Drosophila melanogaster: one gene and its partners. The protein of the gene in region 1 purifies or fractionates together with the protein of each later gene. This does not show direct contact. Each region holds a gene or a part of one and is shown in the gene's direction. Other genes may lie near its edges.

Evidence for each region. Proteins that work in one complex are often made in the same cells at the same time.
Region 2: the proteins of Ctps (region 1) and Catsup purify together in Drosophila melanogaster (affinity purification with western blotting, with the first as the bait; one study listed by BioGRID). This does not show direct contact.
Region 3: the proteins of Ctps (region 1) and Pdcd4 purify together in Drosophila melanogaster (affinity purification with western blotting, with the first as the bait; one study listed by BioGRID). This does not show direct contact.

Annotation. Positions count from the first base shown.
Region 1 is NT_037436.4:15,095,855-15,101,188, forward strand, and holds the start of Ctps (CTP synthase), read left to right. Parts: upstream 1-2,059; 5' UTR 2,060-2,496; coding exon 2,497-2,662; intron 2,663-2,679; exon of another isoform or gene 2,680-2,933; intron 2,934-2,989; exon of another isoform or gene 2,990-3,011; intron 3,012-3,406; exon of another isoform or gene 3,407-3,648; intron 3,649-4,199; exon of another isoform or gene 4,200-4,786; intron 4,787-5,132; exon of another isoform or gene 5,133-5,334. Other genes in the region: GlyRS (Glycyl-tRNA synthetase), read left to right, coding at 1-1,705. UniProt on the Drosophila melanogaster protein: Catalyzes the ATP-dependent amination of UTP to CTP with either L-glutamine or ammonia as the source of nitrogen. Constitutes the rate-limiting enzyme in the synthesis of cytosine nucleotides.
Region 2 is NT_033779.5:19,040,089-19,044,387, forward strand, and holds Catsup (catecholamines up), read left to right. Parts: upstream 1-1,773; 5' UTR 1,774-1,857; coding exon 1,858-2,236; intron 2,237-2,291; coding exon 2,292-3,262; 3' UTR 3,263-3,526; downstream 3,527-4,299. Other genes in the region: mib2 (mind bomb 2), read left to right, coding at 1-1,034; Ttc19 (tetratricopeptide repeat domain 19), read right to left, coding at 3,532-3,795, 3,848-3,995, 4,066-4,229, 4,282-4,299.
Region 3 is NC_004354.4:13,752,134-13,757,472, reverse strand, and holds the start of Pdcd4 (programmed cell death 4), read left to right. Parts: upstream 1-2,066; 5' UTR 2,067-2,220; exon of another isoform or gene 2,221-2,643; intron 2,644-5,339. Other genes in the region: Rtc1, read right to left, coding at 1-202; CG32625 (uncharacterized protein), read left to right, coding at 713-889, 958-1,215.

The DNA of each region.
Region 1 (5,334 bases):
TCAGTATTTCGCCCTCGAAGAGCAAATGCTGGAGGTGGACTGCTCTATTCTGACTCCCGAACCTGTGCTCAAAGCCTCTGGTCATGTGGAGCGTTTCGCTGATCTGATGGTCAAGGATGTCAAGACCGGCGAGTGCTTCCGCCTGGATCATCTCATTAAGCAGGCTTTGGAAAAGCTATCTAAGGCCAAGGATGCAACTCCCGCCCTGCAGGCCGAGTGTGAGGATATTATCATTAAACTGGATGGCCTGAACAAACAGGAATTGGCTGGTGTCCTGGCCAAATACAACATCAAATCTCCATTAACCGGCAATGATTTAACAGAACCGATTGAGTTCAACCTGATGTTTGCCACCCAAATTGGACCCACTGGCTTGGTCAAGGGATTCCTGCGGCCCGAAACTGCCCAGGGTATCTTCGTCAACTTCAAGCGACTGCTGGAATTCAATCAAGGCAAGCTTCCCTTCGCTGTGGCTCAAATTGGCAACTCCTTCCGCAATGAAATCTCACCCCGATCGGGATTGATCCGTGTGCGAGAGTTCACCATGGCAGAGATTGAACATTTCTGTGATCCCGTGCTCAAGGACCATCCCAAATTTGGCAACATCAAATCGGAAAAGTTGACCCTTTACTCGGCGTGCAACCAGATGGATGGAAAGTCTGCCGCTCAGGTGCAAATCGGCGAAGCAGTGGCATCCAAACTGGTGGCTAATGAGACACTTGGTTACTATATGGCCCGCATTCAGCAGTTCCTGTTGGCCATTGGTATCAAACCGGAGTGCTTGCGATTCCGGCAGCACATGTCCAATGAGATGGCTCACTATGCATGCGATTGCTGGGATGCCGAAATTCTTACCTCCTACGGATGGGTGGAGTGCGTAGGATGTGCGGATCGCAGTGCCTACGATTTGGGACAGCATACGGCCGCCACAGGTGTGCGTTTGGTGGCCGAGAAGCGTCTGCCGGCTCCCAAAACGGTCGAGGTCAGCGAGATTGTGCCAAACAAGCAGGCTCTCGGAAAGACCTTCAAGAAGGAGGCAAAGAACATCACGGATGCGTTGGCTAAGCTTTCGCTGGAGGAGATAACCAAGGTAGAGGAACAGCTGGCTGGCGATGGTCAATACAAACTGACCACGGCCGATGGCCAAAGCCACGATCTCGGAAAGGACACCATCAGCGTTAAGCACTCTACGAAAACGGTCCATGTGGAGGAGTTCATCCCGAGTGTGGTTGAGCCTTCATTCGGCATTGGTCGCATCATGTACTCCCTGTTGGAGCACAGTTTCCAATGCCGCGACGGCGACGAGCAGCGGTGCTACTTTACGCTACCGCCTCTGGTGGCGCCCATCAAGTGCTCCATCCTTCCGCTGTCCAACAACACCGACTTTCAACCTTATACTCAGAAACTGTCTTCTGCCCTGACCAAGGCGGAACTTTCGCACAAGGTGGACGACTCCAGTGGATCCATTGGCAGGCGGTATGCCCGCACGGATGAGATTGCCATACCCTATGGCATCACCGTGGACTTCGACACTCTAAAGGAACCGCATACGGTGACTCTGCGAGATCGGAATACTATGAAACAGGTGCGCGTCGGTCTGGAGGAGGTTGTGGGCGTCGTCAAGGACTTGTCGACGGCGAGAACCACCTGGGAGAGTGTCACCGAACAGTATCCTCTGTTCGAACAGCAGGAGGCCAGCAAGTAACTGGTTGATCAAGGAGTTTCTTTCGCTTGGCACGCATTTACAGAGTTTCAAAGTTTTCTTATTTTTGTATAAATAAAATTCAATAATTCAATAATTTCTTATAAAATTCAATAAATATGCAACATTTAATGCTTTGCGCTTTGAAATGGGAGTGTGTTTATCTTCAATATGAATTTGATGTTTATTTTCAAAAAATATTTTTTCTCGGTGAAATTTCTTTTTAAATTATTTAATATAATTTTAAATATGCACATTTAAAGTTGTTTGGATCTATGACAATTCAAATTTACCGGATATTATGATTTATTTACACTTAAAATTGGTAATATAAAACGTGAAATTCCTTTTAAAAACGCAAACTATACACAAAGAGTAAAAATATAAACAAGGGAAAGTAATACGAATTATAGGCCATTTTTTCTTTAGATTTAAATCGCAAGTTTCCAAATAAATATGTAACCAGTCCTCACTGCTATGCTAAAATTACATTTGATTCTTGTTTATTTTTGCGGGAACTCAATTTTAATGCATAGGAAACCGCGCGGTTTTTGTGACGTTTAACAACACACGGTGAGTCACTGGTATTCTCAATGAAATGAGCGGTGGTCATACCATAAATACGTATGAGATATTAAACGAATCCAATTTCTAAAACCACGTGCAGCAAAGGCAAATAAACAATAAATTGTGGCTCGGATTGCCTCAGATTGAGTGTCCACCGCGAATTGAACCGATAACACGATAATCCTCCACATTTGGTGATCCCAAAGATTGACATTCGAGACGAAAGGATGAAATACATCCTGGTAACTGGTGGCGTCATTAGTGGCGTGGGAAAAGGAGTGATTGCCTCCTCGTTCGGAACGCTTTTGAAATCCTGTGGTCTGGATGTAACCTCGATCAAGATTGACCCCTATATCAATATAGATGCTGGAACCTTTTCGCCTTATGAGCATGGTGAGTTTTCAAGAGGTCTTCCCATTATTTTATATGGTGTCTATAGTATGTCTTGCTTTCGACATTCGAAAAATGTCTGGTCTCTTATTTTGGCAATTTTTCAATATTTTGCCCATCTGTGCGAGTGTAAGTGTGCGGCGAGTGTCAGTATGTGCATCTATTGTTGTAAGACTATTGTTGTTGTAAAGCCACGCGTCTGGTTATAACCACATGGTGTGAGGTGACGGAAAAGGAGAGAGCGGTGTGGCGCTCTCCCGCCAAAATAAATAATCTGAGCAAAAACAAACGTTTAATAACAAATAAATAAAGTAACAATACATCACTTACGATATGGGAAAACTTTTCAAATCTATAAAGACAATAATATATAATAATAATTATTCAATAATAAATGTAAAGTGAAACTAAATTTTACGATTTGTTTAATTTGATTTAATACAGGGTGCTTATAAAAAGAATGAGATGGTATCAAAATCGCATTTAAAGTAAATGGTAAAACTGTTTTTCTCAGTGTAAATAAACAAGAGGATGTGTAACAGAGATGCATAGAAAGGCAGTCGTCAGCTGTTTTTCATGCTCTCTATTTCTCTCGCTCTCTGATAACCAGCAACAATTGCACGTGTTCTTGAATCTTTGAGTCGGAAATCGAAAAGAAATTAACGCTTTTTCTGCTGGCAACAGAGATAGCAAGCAATTGCTACCAATGCTCATGCTCTTGTACAATGAAAGTTAGATCTCTCTCACCTTCTTCCTTTCTCTTTCTTAATCCCGCTCTTTGTTTTTGGCTCTCTCATCACAAAATTGCCTCCCCCAACCGGCAGACGTTTTTATTGTTGCTTGACATTGAAAATGAAAGTTTTTTCTGTCCGTTTCACTTGCTCTGCCTTGCTGGTTATTTTCTTATTTTTGTTTTGCTTTCCTTTTTTGCCTCTGTTAGTGGAGAAGGGAAACTTTTCACACAGGCGCACTTCTAATAAATTGAAACTGATCCGAACCCACTGGCGGCTCAATTATAACTGACAAATAGAACTTATTGTTCCTTACTTACATTTAATGATACCGTGTGAGTTGGGAAATTTATTTTATCTCTCTCTTTTTATTTACAATACGAAATTGATTGTACTCTCTTGCACTTTCTCACTGATCCGTTTTACTCACTCTGTACTTCCCCTGGCAAGTTGATGATAGCTACAATAACAACAACGTTTAATAAATAAACGGCAGCAGCGACACACACTTGCAAATTTATTTATACAACGTGCCAATGCAATTACTATGCGTTTATTTGCATGCGTGTGTGTGCGAGTGTGTTTGGGTGGTGGGCGCCTACCACTGTGCGTATGTGTGTGCGACATGTGCCGCAGCGTTGACCTGCAGGATTTGCTTGGCCGCTCTGCGCGTGCGATTAAATACATATGTATTTATGTAGTAACTTAAAGCGAAAGCAAAAAAAAATGTCGGTAGACAACGTTCTATCACAAAAATGGATTTTATAATATATTTAATGATCATTTAATGATCTGCCCGACAGGGGCTTCGGATAGGATGAGATGGGTACGTATGGGTATTGGTCCTCCACAGTACCAGGTCCCATCACATCGAATCGGATCGGATGGGTTTTGATCGGAGAAAAGAGGAACCCGTTTTGCGGCATTTTGATTTATAGGCGACTTATGCACTTGGCAGCCGCGGTGGGAGTGGAACTCGCAGCTGAGATGACACGTCTGACCGAATTCATAAGCGGACATCTGGCCAGGGTGCATTATATATTACACGGTATACATATCATAAGCTAAGCCTCGACGGGCACGGGAATTTCAATATTATATCGTGTACGCTAGGCGCCCTCACAATGCGGGTCAGCTGGAAAGCATTCGTATTGGTTAGTGTTGAGTGTTATAACACAACGTTCGCCTCTAGGCCTACGCATCGGGCACATCAAACAAGCTGGGCGGGCTTTTGTTGACGGCTGCCTGTTGGATCATCCGCTTGGCCTTCTCCAGGGACAGCTTCACCACCTCGATGATCTCGTCGTCCACGCCGCCGCCACCTATTGCCTTGTCCACATCGGTCACCTAGCAGTAGTACATGGTATGCTTGGCATCCGACGAAACAACTCCAAATCTGCAAAGGATTGAGGTGGGAATGCATTAATACATTTTATTGTGGTTAGTTTATGCGTGAACCAAACGGATACTGTTAATATGATTTTCTAGCCAAACATAAAATAACTAGAAGTATTCGTTCATAATTGAAATGCTTGAATAAAACTTAGATACTTGAACATGTAACAAAGTACTCTTAGTTGGACGGTTTATTAGGTTAGGTTAATATTTACACTTTAATTAATATAAAAGCGTATATCTACACAGTTGCTGAACATATAGTTAAAAAAGGTTATTAAGGTTTTTTTTTTTGGTTTAATACCCCTTGAAATGAAATTATTTAAGTTAAAAGTATTTCTACTCACCTTATCAATTATGACTCACTTTGATTGGTGTATATGGGCCCTAGCAACTTCGATGAATGAAATGGGCGGCCAGTTCATCTCCCTCGCGCAACGCACCAACCACCACCGCCCCCGCTAGCCCATTCATCCATAGGGGATTACTGTCTGCCGCCTGTCATTTGCATTTTTGTGCCCAGCTTACACTTTTTGCGGGTCGAAATGC
Region 2 (4,299 bases), on another chromosome or scaffold:
TCATTAAGAAGTCCAATCTGCAGTCGGCCGCGGAGCCTCAGCCAGAGGAGGCTCCTGAGATTCACAAGTTTTACCTGAGTCTAGTACACTCGAGCATTCGTCCTGAGGATCGTTTGATGTACAGTATATTGATCTATCTTTCGAGGGCCGGCTGCCGAGTGGAGCTGAACAACGCCAATGCAAGCATTTTTGAGTGGATAACGGACCGCCACATCAGGCAACTGATTTTTGGGCAGCAGGGCGAAGCTGAATCGCTGCCTAGGAATCTTCAAGCTTTGGAAGTGTCCGCAGGATCAGCCGACGGTGAGGAGAGCTCTGCGTCTGCTGGAGCTGAATCCAATGGAGCCGGACCTGGAAGCGTTGCAGCACCCCCACCACCGCAGCGCCAGACATTTGAACTAATGCCAAAGCCAAACGATATCCCAGCCATTGGAGTTGGAGCATCTCCATCCACGCCCTCCGCCTCGCCGGGCGTAAAGAAACTGAACTCCGACGCAACACCGCAAAACGTCTCTCCACAGGTGGCACCGCGCAAGAAGGCGCCCAAGCCTCCGGTTACCACTAGCTCGAGCAGTACCGCGTTGGAAGCCGGAGCGGCGGGACCCAGTACCAGTCCGGTGATCGTCCCCGGTCCCCATGAGTGCATTGTGTGCAATGAGATCCTGCCGATGGTGCGCTTTGAGCCGTGTCAGCATCAGATCGCCTGCGAGGAGTGCGGCATCCGAATGAAAAAGTGTCTCCGCTGTGCCGTGGCGATCGAGCGGCGATTGACGGTCAGCGGCCGAGTGGTGGCCCTGCCCACGTCCACGTCGTCACCTAGTGACCCCACTCGCCTACCGTCCGGGGATCTACTTCGCTATCTGGAGAACAAAGTGCTGGAGTTTGAGGAGTCGCACTTCTGCGGTATTTGCATGGAGCGAAAAAGGGATGTGGCCTTCCTGTGCGGGCACGGCGCGTGCTCCCATTGTGCCGAAACGCTCCGCACATGCCACATGTGTCGCAAGACAATACTCAAGAAGATCAACCTGTACTGAACGGCGGTAACGGAAACGAAAGAAAAGCAAAGGCGGCAGGATCAGCAGCAATTCAAACAGCAACCAAAGTGGCTTGTATATATACATACACAAAACAAACACACACTCACATTGCCGTGTCATGTGCAAATCGAAATTATTATTTATTGATCACAAACGAAATTTACGAGTTCTTTTTTAATCGGTTCATCATCGGCATCGTCGCAACACGCAACAAATTAATGTGCACCTTCTCGTGTCTAGTTATTAGCCCCGTTTAACCATGTCTGGTAACGATAAATACATAGGAAACTAACTAAAGCATACAAATATTTAATAGTCATTTAAATGCAAATATACAAATATAAAATTATTTAATTGAGTGAATTTCAATCGATGTCGGTGGTTAGCCTACAGAAAATAAAGATACTTTATTTCTGAATATGCTGGGGTGACTTTTAATTGTATTGGTATTTAAAAGGTTTAGTTTAAAATTGAATATATAATAAGTTTAGAAAGATTTTAAAACTGAAATGTTGTAACGGCAAAGTGTGAACAAGTTATTTTCTTTCAGTACGCTGCATAAATTTTAAATGTTTTGCATTTTTGTAAGCATTGACTTGGCAAGCTGTCGGATCTTAAGCTCCGTTTAAAAGTTAATGTAAGCAAAAGCGGCAAAGTACAACTTATAATTGAAAATATACACAAGTTTATTTTTTATTTGAGCGAAACAATCGATACCTCCAGATTTACACGCTAATCGATAACAACGTAGCCAGAAAAAAAGCAAACACGTCACAACACTTTGGCCGCAGTCCGACGCGAAACTAAAGTAAAGGACAAAATGGCCAAACAAGTGGCTGATTACCAGTGCAGTAAGCTCCAGTTGTACCAAAAGCTGGCACTGGTCGTAATCCTGGGAGCAGTGCTTTTCTCGCTCCCGGCGTTGTGCGCCGGCCAGGGCAATCCCAGTTTCAAATACTCGCGGGAAGCCAACGAAAACTTCGATCCGCAGAAGGCTCCACGGGCGGAGCACCATCATCATCATGATCATGACCACGATCATGGACACCACCACCACGGGCACGATCATGATCATGACCACGACCACGGGCATGATCATGGACACCATCATCACGGGCACGATCATGATCATGACCACGACCACGGACACCATCATCACGGGCACGATGAAAGGCACACCAAGGCAAAGCCGGATTTGGGTAATCAACGAACTACCACTCTTAAAATGCCCGAGTTGACCCAAATTTCTTATAGATATGAGCACCATTTGGTTGCACTCGATCGGCTCAACTCTTCTTATCAGTGCCGCTCCCTTCGTGCTGCTGTATATCATTCCCCTAGACAACAGTGAGGCGATGAAGCCGCGTCTCAAAGTGCTTCTGGCCTTTGCTTCTGGCGGTTTGTTGGGTGATGCCTTTCTGCACTTGATTCCTCATGCCACGCATCCACACAGTCATGGAGAACACGGCCACGATCACGGCCATGATCACCATCATCATCATGATGGCGAGGAGCATGAACATGGTCACAGCCACGATATGAGCATTGGTCTGTGGGTCCTTGGAGGAATCATTGCCTTCCTTTCAGTGGAGAAACTGGTACGCATTCTAAAGGGCGGTCATGGAGGACACGGCCACAGCCATGGAGCACCAAAGCCAAAACCAGTGCCTGCTAAGAAAAAGTCCTCTGACAAAGAAGACAGCGGAGATGGAGACAAACCGGCAAAGCCAGCCAAGATCAAGTCCAAGAAACCAGAAGCGGAGCCAGAAGGCGAAGTGGAGATTTCCGGCTACTTGAATTTGGCGGCGGACTTTGCTCACAACTTCACCGATGGCCTGGCCATCGGCGCCTCCTATTTGGCGGGCAACAGCATTGGCATTGTGACCACTATCACTATTCTGCTGCACGAAGTGCCCCATGAGATTGGTGACTTTGCCATTCTTATAAAGTCTGGCTGTTCCAGGCGAAAGGCAATGCTTCTGCAGCTCGTCACAGCGCTCGGAGCTTTGGCGGGCACAGCGCTAGCTCTTCTGGGAGCTGGAGGCGGGGACGGATCGGCCCCATGGGTCTTGCCCTTCACAGCCGGCGGTTTTATTTACATCGCAACAGTGAGTGTCCTGCCGGAGCTGCTTGAGGAGTCTACGAAACTGAAACAGTCGCTGAAGGAAATCTTTGCGCTGCTAACCGGCGTAGCCCTAATGATCGTTATCGCCAAGTTCGAGTAATATCAAAATTGTGGAAAGTTAACACAAAAAAGATCTAATTGCATGTACTGAAAGTGTGCCGCAAACAATTTGAAAGATTTCTGTTCGTTACCTACTCAAAACGATGAGCAACTACTTAAATTTCTTATATTTCAACAGTCAGTAACCGCTATTAGTTCCCAATATAAACAATGCGGCGTTATTTAAGATTTTTTAAGCCTTCCAAATTTGTGCTTCACTTCGAAATGAAATTTTTATAAATAGTCAAAATTACACTGTAAAAAGAATCCTCACTGGCGCTTCTCTCCATTCAGGGTTGTCTTTATCTCGTTGAGACAATACTCGGCCTGCTCTACGGCATCGGGATTCTGGTGTTGCTTTCCCAGTTTCCACGCCAGTCGGCAAGCGTTCTCCGCCTGCGACATCAGGCCCTCGCGAAGATACACCAAACCCAGATTTGCCTGCAGAATGCCTTCCTGGGTGGCATCCTTTAGCTCCTTAGTCAGCTCCATGGCCTCCAAAAGGGTCTCCCTTGCCTCGGCGTACTTTTCCAGCTGTAATTAGTCTAATGTGTTTCAAGTACTTTGGAAGAATAGACGCACCTACGTTTACGTACGCCACACTGATGTTATTTAGGATGGTTACAGAGGCGTCGTTAACGGCACCATAAACATTTATGAGCGTGTCGAAGGCCTCCTTAAAGAGGTTTTTAGCCTCCAGGTATTTTCCCTGCTTCATCAGCAGCTGCCCGAACCTGGAAAATAAACATAAGGAAAAGTATTGAAAAAAGGCTTGGTTAGCGGCAATGGAAACACCTTCAATACCAATTCTTTGTCAAGCCATACAGCTCCAGTATGTCCTTGTCGTCGGGCATTTTCTCCAGTAGCTTAGCCAACTGCTGCAAGGTCCAAGTGAACCCTTGAAAGCTCTTTTCCAGATCCCCTTGCAGCTGAGACATGTGTGCTATCTTGGAGCTGATGTGAAGTATCTAAAGATGAAAGAGATCTTAACTGGTTATGGTGTCTAAGTGGGTCACCCACCTTGGGACTCTCTTCGGT
Region 3 (5,339 bases), on another chromosome or scaffold:
TCTTGGTTCCATTGGTGATTTTATCAAGCAGGCGAATTAAACTTATCTCGTACTCCCGCAGACCGGGTGCCGTTTCGTCCTCCGAACGGATTTGGCTGATCTTCACCGGTTTGCCGGACAGGCAGGCGAGGATTAGGCGCTGCTTGAGGAAGTTGCTGCCGCGGTAAATCAGGCAATTGCCCTCCTGGGCAATGGGCGGCATTTTATAGGCTCTAAACGCACCAATAAATCAAAGAATTTAGCAAATTGATCGGCGCACGTGCGTTAAAAGAGGTAAACAACGTCTATCGCCGGACTATCGGTTATCGATATAGAACACAGTATGGCAGCGCTCCTTAGGGCTGTCAAGTGTTGGAATTATCGCATTTAGTAAATAACATAATAAATTATTTACAAATGAATATATTTCAGAATGCATTTTTATAATTTACACAAGCACTGCAAACAATCGAACGTTTGTATTTTTATATTATTATTTTAAGAAAAAAAAATACTGCAAGCTTCTATTAAAAATACCAAACGCTGTAGGAGATTTGAATAGAATTGTTGTTGCGAAATTCTCTGCTCATTTTGAAAAAAATACTGCAAGCTTCTATTAAAAATACCAAACGCTGTAGGAGATTTGAATAGAATTGTTGTTGCGAAATTCTATGCTCACTTTGAAGTTGACGAAGGGGAAGTTCGCAGAAGGCGAACAAAACTAGTTGTAAAAATGTCTGCGGATCCAAAACTTTATGAATATGTCAATTGTCCCAACTCTAGCTCGCATTTGGTAATGCTGTTTAAAATGCCCTACCATTTGCCGCTTTGTGCCAAGAAATTTCCATCGGACGAATTAGCTCGCTGTCCATATAACAGAACCCATATGTACCCTATTGCCGATATATATGTAGGTTATGAATATATATTATATGTATGTAAGCAAATATTAAATTCAATTGTTTATCCCATTTGCAGGAACATATCATCAAGTGCCCGAGCTACTTACGCGAGGAGAGCCACAGCGACGCAAAAGAAGATGCCAAGGACTGTGATGCCAAGGAAAGTGATGCCAAGGACTGGGATGCCGACCCGCCGGTTTCGACATATGATCCGAATATCCACTGTGAGAAGAACCCTATCATTCGTCGTCTGCACGGAGCTACGCGCTCCTCTCGCCGGGCATTCCGCGAAAAGGAACGCAAGCGATTAATGGATTTGAATACTTTTCCTTAATCTATGAACATACTTACTTACTTACATACATCATATGAATACATACATATACATATACAACATACATACAAATAAACATATTTCATACATTTCGAAAAAGGAGCGTTTTATGTTAGCATAGATCAGCGTTTATTTAAAAATGTATTCAAATTAAAAATTAATAAGAGTTAATTCAAGGAATCTTCAACATATAATTTCATAAATATTCATATGGTAATTAAAATTACAAATAAGAGAGCCACAATTGGCGGCAATTTTGTTTTTTTTTTTTGCTTTCTGCCGCCACTTGGAAATGTACAGCAATTCCTGTTCAATATTTACTTCGTTTTCTTTTGCATCGCTTTCTGCCGCCAATTGGAAATGTGCTGCAATTTGGGTTATGTAGCTGCCCGCCCTGTTCAAAAATTCCTGGAAAATAAGATTTTACTGAATTGAATGTTTTTAAATCTTGATAAAAAGGTAAGATCATTGGGCGAGTATATATATACATCCAGTGAGTGTGTAAATAAAGTAATGTTTCATTGTTTTTACTAAATATGCATATGTTTGCTTGTATGCATTTCTTTCCTTTTTCTTTTAAAAACTACTTCTCTGAGATGCCACTCTGTTGGACCATTCCCAGAAGCCATCAAAATTCAATAAGTTTCGTTTATCTTAGTTTTCCTCATAGGCAGGCTTACTACATAGGATTGAATTTGTATTTACATATATTTGCAAACTTTTTAATAAACTTCCCCGTTTTAAGGGGAAGCTTCGCCAAGTGCGCTTTTATAACCCACCACCTTACCAGAATCGAACAGTCTGGCAGCACGGTCTCGCCGAAAAAGTATAAAAACCCACGTCTCGTCGCTCTCTGGTTCAGTCGAGTTGAGTTTTCACGGCGTGAACAACAGTGTGCGTTATTGGTTCCTTATTCTGCGGTTCTTCAATCCTTTTTGTTCCAATCCTACTGAAAAAGAAATCAAAAGTTCACATCGTTAAGCGGCAAAAACAACAAAAGCGAAGGTGAATAAGGCATAAAAAACAGCACACGCAACTGAATAGTTGTGGGTGTGCGAGTGTGTGTATGCGCGTGTGAAGGAGCCTTTTAGTAAACACTCACACACTTGTGTATTTTTTTTCTGTGAGACACAAGATATTTGAGTGCATTTTTTGCCATTTGCCTTGCCAACCCCTCTCCCCCGCACGCATATAAGAAGAGAAAGAGAGGCAGGGAAAAAATAAAGGAGCCCACGAAGAAAAGCAACAACTATTAAACAGGCTCCTCATCGTATAAAAGCAGCGCAGCCGCCGTCAACGTCAACTGCAGTGGGCCAACGTCGTTGCAGTCGTGTCGTTAGTTTTTGTTCTTGTTGCAGCAGCAGCATCAAAGACAGAAGTAGAGAGAGCGAGCGAAACAGCCGGAGAGACAAAACAAAAAGCACTTAGGTAAGTGGCAAAATAAAAAAAAACGCAGAAACAGCAGCAGCAGCAACAACAACATCGATCTTGACGAAGACCAATTCAAAGAAGCAAGCGAAAAAAACTGCCGGCGAATGCGAATATAAAAGCAAAAACGAAATTACAGTCGCGGTCACAAAATTATGCCATATTAGATGATTTCAATAAAAATAGGTGAAATTTAAGAATTTGTTGATGCGCGTTATTTGCTCCAATTGGAAAACGTTGGTCTACGTGATAAAATCAACCGGCACACACGCACGCACCCGAAAATTCGAGAAAAACTGAAACGAGGAAAGCCGAAACCGAAAAAAAAAACAGCTGCCCACATTGGATGGGGGGTGAATTTGTTTGTTTTTTTTTCTGCCTGCCAAACTTGTTCCTTAGGCTTTTTGATTTTATTTTCGTTGTCTCGAGGTTTATTTGCATTCGGCGCCCCGTCCAATGTTTCCATGTCATCCGATTTTGTTTTCCCATATTATCTACCAGAATTGCTGGCTCACAGTGGTGGTACAATTCACTCTGCATAATTAACGATTATTTAAGTATTTAACAAAATCAGATGCAAATGCAATATGACCTAAAGTATAATATGACTCCAAACCCGAGATGTGTTATTAGAAGGGTTCTGGACGGGGAATTTTGCAAACAATTCCAGGCAAAATACAAAAAAATTTCAATTTTTCTGGTTACTGGATGCCAAACAAATACAGTTCTCAGTTTATAAAAGGCATAACAAAACCATCAAATTTATTCTGTAGTTTCAAAAAGAGTGGGTGACACAAATTGGTTTTTAATTTCTTTTATATCTATTTATGCAATTCATGTGCGCCTAATAGTTCGATCTCTTCTGTTAAAAAAAACAAACAACAGCATTCAATGGTGAGAACGTCTCTGCTTCTTTTTCTTGTTCTTTTTATTGGACATTGCTTATGTATTTTATTTTTTGCGAAATGTTTGCGACGCAATTTCGACAGCGTCACTTTATTTTTATGCTCTTTTCCATCGCTCCTCTTTATCTCTCTCTCCACTTCTTACAAACTCAACCTTTTCCTGATTTCGGGGTTAAAAAATAATTTCGGACACGCATCAATAAAAAGCGCGAAGGTGGAAAAGAGATTCGAAAAAAATGCTGAAAAGCGTTCATTTTGTTATTTCTGTTGTTGTTGTTATCCGAAAAAGGGGGCACAACAAGTGCGAAAGAAGGAGATGAAGAATCAGATGAGAAAGAGACCGGAAGGAGACGGCAATAAAAACATAGAAATTCGTGAGGCGCACAAAATTTTCAAGGTTATACCGGGCAAAACAAACATAAGACCGGTAACAGCATATGTATATGTATGTACATCCATATTACAGAGGGGGAAATACATAAGAATCCGCGTTTAAAGAAGAGGAGAAAGCACAAGCGGCGCAATATAAAAAGCACTCAAAAAACAAAAACAACACATGAAAACACAAAAAAAAAAACAACACATGCGGCTCTTTTTTGCACGTTATCTTTGTTTTCATTTGTATTATGCTGACATCTATATGTACATGGATGAAAGAATTGTATGAGAAGAGTGCCAAATCGACAATTTTACAACCGAAAATTGCGATAATTAATCAGAAAAGTTTATCAAACGAATGTACATAATTTAAATAAATCATATTATGTATTCGTGTTGGTTTGTTTGATTTGATTTTATACATATTTATGTTTGTGCTATATAGCATTTAAATTAAAAGTGCAAAACAGCATAAAAACATTTCAAATAAATAGGGAAAACAAAAGCAGCTGGAAAAGTAAAACATGTGTATGTATGTAGGCACTTATGTACACCAAAAGCAATTACATAGGCATGGAAATACAAGCAACTTTCAATTTAGAGTTAGTGCGAAGGAGACGGCTATATTGCTTGTGGGGGTTGCAAAGCTTTAACGGTAACAAAATTATGTAGTAGCTTTGGTGTTGTTGTTGTTGCGTGACCTTGAATTTCGTCTATAGGGGAGTTTCGATACATGTCCCTATCGCTATCCCTGTCACACCCACGCCCATTGACAAACATTTGCAATTTCCAAGACGCAGTACCGTTATTATATACAGATGCGGTCAAAAAAATGGCGCGAAAGCTGAACATATTATTATGGGTATATCTTAAAAATGAAAACCTAGAAACTTTTTGCAAAATTGTTAGCACTTACAAAAAAAAATCCGTAAAATAGCGACCCCAGTCATTTGTACATAGTATATATTGACTTCTGATCTTGTCATTACAATTACTTTGTATTATTGTGAGCATTAAATTTATGGGCATGCCAAAGAGCTTGTTCTATATTTAGGCAAAAACTATTAGATTTGAATAGCCCGAAAAAGAAACCTAACTGAACTTGGAAAGAAGGGGTTTCTGAGGGGCCATTGTCGGCTACGTGCCAGACATCATGTGTATTTATTTTAGTTCCATGTTTTTCACAGCCGCGACGCGCACAATAAACAAGTAAAACTTTCGCTGACTAACATCCCGTCTTTAAGGCGAGACATGTAAAATATACAAACGAAGGCGTTTCCTAAGAACAGTGACACCAAACCACGCCATCAACGTTCTCTATCTCTTCTATATGTACATATGTTTTCCTAAAGTTTCAAGTTTCATAATTGCACCGAAGACCCGACCCATTGCTTTAAACGATTAAATTGCATA